2 linked regions of the Caenorhabditis elegans genome follow. The protein of the gene in region 1 interacts with the protein of each later gene in a pairwise test. Each region holds a gene or a part of one and is shown on either strand. Other genes may lie near its edges.

What was found. Proteins that work in one complex are often made in the same cells at the same time.
Region 2: the proteins of rfc-3 (region 1) and rfc-1 interact in a two-hybrid assay, tested with the Caenorhabditis elegans proteins (3 studies listed by BioGRID).

The regions. Positions count from the first base shown.
Region 1 is NC_003282.8:13,093,867-13,097,580, forward strand, and holds rfc-3 (Replication factor C subunit 3), read left to right. Parts: upstream 1-1,895; 5' UTR 1,896-1,902; coding exon 1,903-2,078; intron 2,079-2,122; coding exon 2,123-2,834; intron 2,835-2,895; coding exon 2,896-3,072; 3' UTR 3,073-3,214; downstream 3,215-3,714. Other genes in the region: C39E9.12 (SAP domain-containing protein), read left to right, coding at 145-279, 324-474, 521-1,258, 1,308-1,513; dli-1 (Dynein light intermediate chain), read right to left, coding at 3,250-3,384, 3,432-3,662, 3,713-3,714.
Region 2 is NC_003283.11:14,642,152-14,647,650, reverse strand, and holds rfc-1 (Replication factor C subunit 1), read left to right. Parts: upstream 1-1,671; 5' UTR 1,672-1,799; intron 1,800-1,849; 5' UTR 1,850-1,905; coding exon 1,906-1,939; intron 1,940-1,995; coding exon 1,996-2,063; intron 2,064-2,109; coding exon 2,110-2,214; intron 2,215-2,257; exon of another isoform or gene 2,258-2,264; coding exon 2,265-3,033; intron 3,034-3,082; coding exon 3,083-3,402; intron 3,403-3,455; coding exon 3,456-3,764; intron 3,765-3,879; coding exon 3,880-4,277; intron 4,278-4,330; coding exon 4,331-4,847; 3' UTR 4,848-4,984; downstream 4,985-5,499. Other genes in the region: pmp-3 (ATP-binding cassette sub-family D member 4), read right to left, coding at 1-118, 169-461, 850-898.

The sequences.
Region 1 (3,714 bases):
AACGTACACCGCGCGAAAAACACAATTTTTCAAACAGCGATGGAGGGAAATTTCTTGAGTCCTATTTTGTTTCTTGTTCATTTGTTCCTTGTTTCATTTGCTTTTCTGTTCTCACTATTCAATAAAAATAATAATTTCAGTAAAATGTCAGCCAAAAATAAAGAGCTCGCCGAAGAGGACGTGCTCAACATGACATGCGACAAGCTTCGCAAGGAGTTAAAGAAGAAAAGGGCTTCGACTGCGGGAAAGAAATCGGAACTTCAATCGCGTCTTTTGGAGGTTTGAACTCAGTCGAAACAATGTGATTAATTTAACTTTTTCAGTTTCTCGCTGGCCAAAATAATGCCGGAAACGGGGAGGCAATCAGGGAAGAGCCGGAAGCCGAGGCTATGGACACCGACGAAGCACCTGCCAATCGCACATTCACAGTTGAAGAGGAAGAAGAAACTGAGAATACTACTGGCAGATTTGTTCGTAAGTTATATTCCATTTAGTTGAAATTTAAACAGCTTTATTACAGACGAGAATACTCCGACAAATGCGGTTGCTGTCGTTTTGGATGATGACTTGAGAAACCGTCTCTGTGGCAGTTTGGGAATCGATCTGCAAAGCTTCGAGGTGAAGTCACGCCCGAGAGTTCATCGTCTTTCGACAAGACTGTCTCTCCGCGCTAGTTCGTCGACTCCTCAAACATCTGAGCGACCAGGAATGCCGATCGAGAACAGAGGAATTACGCCAGTTCGTCAGCGTGCTCCATCCAGTGGAAGAGACAGATTCGCAATGATTCATGCAAGAGAGATGGAAAAAGAAGAAACACTCGGAGAGCGTCAAGAACGATTGAAGAAACGACACGAATTCATGACCGGCGACGTCCCAGAAGCTATCAGGAGACTTGCTACCCCGAAAAGTGTGCCAAGACGTGACCCAGTTGATAGATCAACTACAAGATCTGCTGCGCGCAATTGGCAAGTTCAGGATCCTGAGAAAATGTCCTTCCAATTCGGGGATAAATCTGCTGATGATTTTCCCGCTCTTGTCAGCTCACGAGCTGGCTGCTCATCGTCATCTGCTGCCACCACCTCTACCAAAAAGACAAAGTCCGTTGCAAGATCTCATGTGGACGTGAAGAAGCTCACCAAGTCACAAATCCCGAAACCATGCCGTTTAACTTCTCGAAAAATCATTCCTGCAACTGTCCCAGAAGATGATACATTCACCGAGTACATTTCCACGCCAAAAGGAACCACTCCAACTAGAGGTAACTATTCATATTTATCTTTTTTTCGCTAATTCATAGCAATTTTTAGTTCCACGACGTGCTGGTTACACACCACACTCTACGAGAAAAGTGTTCGTCGACACGACTCAATTGACGGATCGCGAGTTCACTTTGGCACTGGAGGAAGGATTAATCCCCGGAAGAGCTGCCACGAACCTCGAGAAACAACAAGTGGAGAACAAGAAGCGCCGTGACGACATTATCGCACTCAAGCGTAAAATGAATATCAAGTAGATATCTCAATTATTTTCTTATTTATCTTCACTCACTCGTCTCACTAGGCTAAACCTGTAAAATATTTCGTTGTTGACTTGTCGAGTTTCTGAAAATGAATTCTTTTAATTTATTACAATTCTCTTTATTTATTTTCTATTTATTTATTCCTCTATTCAATTGTTTGCGACAATTGTGATATCTTTGAATATGTCTTTTAATTTTTTTAGCAAGAAATATACGGTGGATCCGGATTCCCGAAGCGCAATTCGCGGCACGGTTTAATTTTTTAATTTACCATAAAAGCGCGTGCCGCGGAATTACTTTTCGGGTTCCACCTTCTATTTCTCGCGCTTATTTTGGACTTTAATTACTCTGACAATATAATATTAATCTTTTCTAGTGCAAAAATGGCGTTGTGGGTGGACAAATATCGACCAAAGGACTTGTTGGGAAAGGATGGCGTTGATTATCACATCGAGCAGGCCAATCATTTGAAGTTTCTCTCCGCAGACTGTATGCCGCATCTCTTGTTCTGTGGTCCCAGTGGAGCTGGAAAAAAGACACGGATCAAGTGTCTGTTGAGGTTTAATTATTGGTAAATTCAGTAAATAAAATAATATTTTTCAGAGAGCTTTACGGTGTTGGAGTCGAGAAAACGCAGCTCATCATGAAGTCGTTCACTAGTCCGTCGAATAAAAAACTTGAAATACAGACTGTCTCGAGCAATTATCACATCGAAATGACGCCGTCTGATGTTGGAATCTATGATCGAGTTGTTGTGCAGGATCTCGTTAAAGAAATGGCACAAACGTCTCAAATCGAATCAACTTCTCAAAGATCGTTCAAAGTTGTCGTTCTTTGTGAAGCGGACTCACTGACTCGTGATGCTCAACACGGACTTCGTCGAACTATGGAGAAGTACGCGAATAACTGTAAAATCGTTTTGAGCTGTGAATCCCTGTCCCGTATCATTGAGCCACTTCAATCTCGTTGCATCATCATCAATGTGCCAGCTCCAACCGATGAAGATGTGACCAAAGTCTTGCGGAAAGTGATTGAACGGGAGAGCTTTCTACTTCCGGAGAACGTTTTGCAAAAGATTGTGGAGAAGTCTGAAGGAAATCTGAGAAGAGCTATTCTGATGACTGAGGCTTTAAGAATGGAGAACGAGAGTGGTGTGGCTGAAAGTGTAGTAATTCCGGTTCCGGAATGGGAGATTTATATCCAAGAGACTGCTCGTCTGATCCTCCAGAAACAGAGCTCCGATATGCTTCTGAAAGTTCGCGAACGATTGTACGAATTGCTCTCCAGATGTATTCCACCAACTGTCATTTTTAAGGTGAGTTATAAGCACACAAATAGTATAAAATGTTCAAAAATATTTAGAAATACATTTTCAGAAACTTCTCGAGCATCTCCTTCCCAAATGTCCGCCACAAATTGCACGTGAAGTTGTCAGTGAAGCAGCGAAATTCGAGCATCGCCTTGTTCTCGGACAAAAAGCAATTTTCCATCTTGAAGGATTCGTCGCCGCTTTCATGGACATTTACCTTACTAATGCTTCTAAACCCAAGTGATCTCTGTCCCCGCGTATTATATTATTCTACTTTTGTGTAATCATAAACTTGAAACGAACTACATTATGGTTGTGTGGGTATTTACAGAAACAGCATATAATAAAAATCGTATCGCAAAGGAGAATAAAATGACCGGCGATAAAGCTTAAAATATTTAAATAGATTATGAAAATGACGTTATGCATCACTGTCCCGGGGTTGAGGTTTCGGGCTTTGCGCAGACTTCAGAAGACGATCGAGTTGGGCCTGGGTGGCTGCGGCATCCATCGGCTGGGAAACAGTGGAAGGAGAGCTCACCTTGCTCGGCTTGTCCTGAAATATGGAAATTCACATAGAAAAAAGATCTAAGATTGATTTACCTTATTGAGCAAGTTGGAGAAGAAATTGGCGAGTGGACTGTCCTTATCGGTAGGCTCTTCTTGCATAGTCCTCGGCTTGGGAGCGGCCGTAGTGGTTGAAGTTGCCAGGATGTCCATCAACTTCTTCAAGAAAGCCTGATCTTCCTCGGCTTCGATGAGCTGCTCTTTTGCGACAGGTCTAAGCTTATCGCGAGTCGGCTCTAAAGCTGAATCCACATCCGGAATAGACTCCTGAAATTAATCATGAACTCGGATTCTCCAATTACTTATGTAAAACTTACAC
Region 2 (5,499 bases), on another chromosome or scaffold:
AAGAAGATAGCTTGAAGAAAGCTTGTCTCTTGAAATATAACCTATGCATCGTGAGATTACATACTTGACGACTTTTGATCGCTAACATATTTGTAAGATATTTGAATACTGCTAATGTCTGAAATTAAACGCTAATTAGGATGAGAAAATATCGAATTTCGATCTTACAAAAGCTTTTCCAAGAATAATCGCGGCTCCCCGTGCACACAGAATTTTAAACGTGTCAGCATCCTTGTTTCCCAGTGCCACGTAGAACAGACTTGGCTGGATTCCAACTAAATACGTCATTACTTGATCGAGAGCAGTTGCGATGAGCAGTGCTCCGGCGAGCCACGCGGTTATCGATCGACGATGACATGGAAACAGGATTTTAAGAAGACGCCAGAACCTCCGAAAGAAGAGGAAGTCGAGGGCCAATCTGGCCATTTTGACCGGATTTTGGGCCGAGGCGTTTTTGCGACCTGAAATTTTGTGATTAGGAAGGCTTTTTTCAGAAGATGCCCCAGAAATAGACATTAAGAAGAGGAGGAGTGGAGTTGAATTCAAGAAAAATAGTGAATTTCAGTGGAGATTTTAGACAAACTTGAAGCTTTTTTTATGACTGGACAATTCTACTGAGATCAACCGGAGCAAAAAACAAAGCATTTTTCTGGAATTTAAAATGTTTCAAGGAGAATATTTAAGACAACCAAACACCATTCAAATCCGAAACAAAAAAGAAAAGAAACGTAGGCCGGCCATACCATCCCATTCAAACCAAATGAGGTCGATAAAGGCGTTGAAAAGAGCACAAAGAAATGAGCACAGAGACGTGGACAATGAAGAACAGAAATGGATAATGATTATCACCTTTTTCTGTTCGTACTTCTTCCAGTTGAATTTCTTGATCCGACTCCATGCGGGATGTGCAATCTGGAAAGAGCTGGCTGTGAGTGAACATGCAAAAACATAATTTATATTTACAATAACAATAGAGATAACGACGATCAAAACAAAACTAAAAAACAAAAGCTATTCAAGGTGCTGCTGAGTTTTTGTGCATTGATAACAATTCAGTTTTACAGAAAAAAAAACAGAAAATGAAGCTTTCGGCATAAATTATTACAATTTTATGTTCCAAACATAAATAAACAGACTATAATGATTCGAATATTTTGAGAAAAAGCTTCAGTTTTCGACGGTTTTGCAGGAATAAGTTCGGTCAGCTGTACACGCAAATACATTTGCGTCCGCACACAGTGTAACGAGGAGAGTGGGGGACAGGAGAAAGTGAGGCAAGCGGAAAGAGAGATTGCAAACGCAGACGATGAAGAAAAAAATGATGGGCGGGGAAGCATTGGGCACTTTTTGGGGGAAAGATGAGGACCCTTTGATATTCAGAATTTTATATTCAGATTTATAACGTGATTCGTGCGAGGAGAATTATCAGTTTTATATAGGATCTTTGAGTTGAAATAAGACGAGAATTTAATTTTTTATCAACAAAAAATCGGGAAGATATGTAACGAATTTCTTGAACGGAAAATAGCAAGGAATCTTAAAAATTTATGAAAAATAAATTGCAATTTTCATACTGTAGAAATTAAAGGGACATTACGAATAAGCCGAATAAGGCCTCGGCACGATTTCAAAAATGCAAATACGCTCTGTTGGAATTTGCTTTTCCCGCTCAGTTTTTTAAATTTTAAAACTTTTTTTTTCATTCTTTTTCATTTTGGCTCCTCAAGATTGTTCCTGCTTTTCGATCGTTTTTTCGAAACCGAAAATTACGAAAATACACCCAGATTTTGGCGATTTTTGTAAGCCTTTCTATAGTTTTTAATCCCCAACAAAAATTATATTTTTTAAGCCGACGGAGAGAATCCAATCCCTCGACATTTACGGAAGATCGCCTCAAAAAAGGAAATGAGTACAAAAAGAAAGATTGTGGTTTCTTCGGGTAAAAAACAAATTGCATTCTGTGCAAATGTGTATTACGAAATTTCTTTTTTTAAGATTCCGATGATGATATGCCATTCACCCAGGAAAAGCAAAAGAAGGCAGCGACACCGGCGAAAAAAAGGGTTCGGAAATTCATGTGAACTGAACCCTCATTGAGAAATGTTTCAGACAAAGCCAGTAGTACTAACCGATGACGACGAAGAAGAAGAAAATGCACCTCAAAAAAAGACTGCACCAAAAAGATCGAGAAAGCAAGAAAAAGAAGAGAGCGATGTGAGAAAGCACTCTAATATCCATGAAATATCGCAATAATTAGCTTTTAGATAACCTCTGACGAAGACGAGCTCGTGCGCGGAACTGATGAAAAAAAGAAAAGAAAGGGTGGAAAAAAGGAGTTACCAGTTGGTCAAAAAACGCTGGATTATATGTTCAAACCTTCTTCGTCATCTTCGAAACGTGATGATCCTAAGAAAAAAGTCGAAAAAACATTAGTGAATCCCGCAGACTTCTTCAAAAACTCACCAGCGCCATCTGCATCAAAACTTCCAAAAGTTGCTCCGAAAACTGTTGAAAAACCAAAAACGCCAGCTAAGAAGCCAGTGGAGATCAGCCCGTCGACCAAAGAAAACACTAAAACAAAGAAAGTGTCGGACGATGAGTTCGTAGATTCTGATGATAGTTTTGACACGTTCACTCCTATTACTGTGAAAAAGAAGACACCTGAAAAGAGAAAGGAGACCCCGAAAAAGAAAGAGCTTCCTTCTGTCAAAAAAGAATTCCCAAAGAAGCAATCAATTCCTGTCAAAAAAGAAAAAGAAACTCCACAGAAAAAGGCGTTATCAGTGAAAAAAGATCCACCGAAAGTAACCTCCGAGTCATCTTCGTCGAGTCAAGTTTCCACGTCATCAGTCGTTTTTCAACCGAAACCAAGTGGGCCACCCCCAGCACTTTCATGGGTTGATAAGTATAAGCCGAAAAGGATGGGAGAACTTGTTGGCCAGAATGGAGACAAAAGCCCAATTAATAAGCTTTTGGAATGGATTAAAGACTGGGCAAAACACAATCTTGGCGAAGGGGCAAAAATTAAGAAGCGTAAGTAATTTTATTTCTATTTTATTATAATATTATCGGCAATTTTCAGCAAAACCAGCTCCATGGATGTCATCTCAAGATGGTACATCATTCAAAGCAGCTCTTTTATCGGGTTCTCCTGGAGTTGGAAAGACTACATGCGCCTATATGGCTTGTCAACAACTGGGCCTTCAACTTGTCGAAATGAATGCATCAGATGTGCGTAGTAAGAAACATCTCGAAGCGAAAATTGGCGAACTCTCTGGTTCTCATCAAATTGAGCAGTTTTTCGGAGCGAAAAAGTGTGCTCCACAAGATAATCAAAAGGTTCATCATATCCTGATTATGGATGAAGTCGACGGAATGTCTGGAAATGAGGATCGAGCTGGTGTGAGTTTAAATGAAGAACTAATATATTAATATTCAAATGTTTATTTTTACAGATCTCTGAGCTCATCCAAATTATCAAGGAGTCTAAAATTCCAATTATTTGCATTTGTAATGACCGGCAGCATCCGAAAATTCGTACACTGGCCAACTATTGCTATGATCTTCGTTTTCCAAAGCCACGTGTCGAGACTATTCGTTCTCGGATGATGACCATCTGTTCTCAGGAAAAAATGAAAATTGGCAAAGAAGAATTGGACGAAATTATCGAGTTATCCGGTCATGACGTCCGGCAAACAATTTACAACCTGCAAATGAGGTCAAAGGGAGTTGGAGCAAAGATCAACCAGAAGGATATGGCTGTGGTAGGTCTCCTAGCCGTGAAATTTTGCGATTTTCGCGCCAAAAATGGGGTACTTGGTCTCGATACGAAACTTGCGCCTGGTTATACAAATTCTGAAATCTTAACAACATTTTCAGGATGCATTCTCGGCGGCTCGTCGTCTCCTGGATTCTCGTACGACATTAATGGAAAAGCAGGAAATGTTCTTCACTGACTATGGAATCATGCCACTTTTCGTCCAGGATAATTATCTCAATATGAAAAATGAAAAGCATAGTCCAATCCAAGCGATCCGTGGAATACGAAAAGCTGCAGACTTCATTTCCCTTGGAGACCTTATTGATCGGCAAATTCGTGGTGGAGGATCCTGGAAGTTGCTCAATGAGCAGAGCATGATTTCTGCTGCACTTCCAGCGATTGCCACTGGTGGACATTTGAAGGCAATGATTCAGTTCCCATCGTGGTTGGGAAAAAACTCGACAGCTGGAAAACGGAAGAGATTGCTTCAGCAACTGGTTCAACACACACATCTCAAGTAAGTTACGCTAAATTCATTATGGGAATTAGGAATTTATTTATTACTTTCAGAGTTTCTGCTGGTACTCACTCATTTGCCACTGATTATGCTCCAATGCTCCGTCAGAAAATAACGAAACCACTTCTTGAACATGAAGCTGATGGAATTCCAGATGTGATCAGCACAATGACAGAATACGATCTCATCAAAGACGACACTGAAGCACTCACAGAAATTGTTGCTTGGCCTGGAAAAATTGATCCGGCTAGTAAAATTTTGAGTAAGGTGAAAGCATCATTGACTAGAACTCTAAACAAGACTGGTCGAATGCTTCCATACTCGATGGATTCTGTGTCAAAAGGAAAGAAACGAGGTGTGAATTCAATTGGAATTGAAATGGACGAAGAAGGAAATCTAGTGGAGAAATTTGAAGATGAAGATGGAGAATCCGATAATGAGGATAACGAGGAGAAAACTACTGATGTTGTTATTAAAGTTAGGACTGGTGGAGGTGCCGGAGCTTCAAAATCTGCTCGAGGTGGACGTGGTGGTGGTCGGGCTCGTGGAGGAAGAGGAAGCAAGAAATGATTATAGATGTCCAGTATTATTCTAACTATTACCGTAAACTTGCAATAAACCCTCTTGAATGATCACTATTTCGACAAAGCAGATATTCTTGCAGGAAAACTATTAAAAACTGGATAAAAAATCATGTTACAACGATTTATTTGAGCACGATGAAACAATTTAATTTTAGTCATTTTGCACCAGGAGGACAACGTATTATGGTTTTGCCAAAAATGTTGAAAATTTCGTTCAAGATCATTGAGATATTCACAACTGTTTTCTATATTTGTCAAGTTAGTTCGCATTGAAAGAGAAATCAACTCTGACTAAATTGAAGACAATAGAATCGTTGTGAAAACTGGATGAACCACGAAATTTCGCGATATAGTGGTCTTTCATAAAAAGGAATGAAATCGTAGGGAATTGGACCAGCAATTGTGAAAGCATCGGGAGGGATTGTAACATAGAAAATGTGGTAATGGAGTGCACGTGGTGTCAAAGTGTCCCATATTGGTTTGATCTACGTAGAAAACGTCGTAGATCTACATAAATGCGGGAGAAGAGACGCAGAGTTCTCAACTAATTTTGCATGGTTAAAAACGTGCCGACGTCACATTTTTTGGGCAAAAGATTCCCGCATTTTTTTGTAGATCAAACCGTGATGTGACAACCT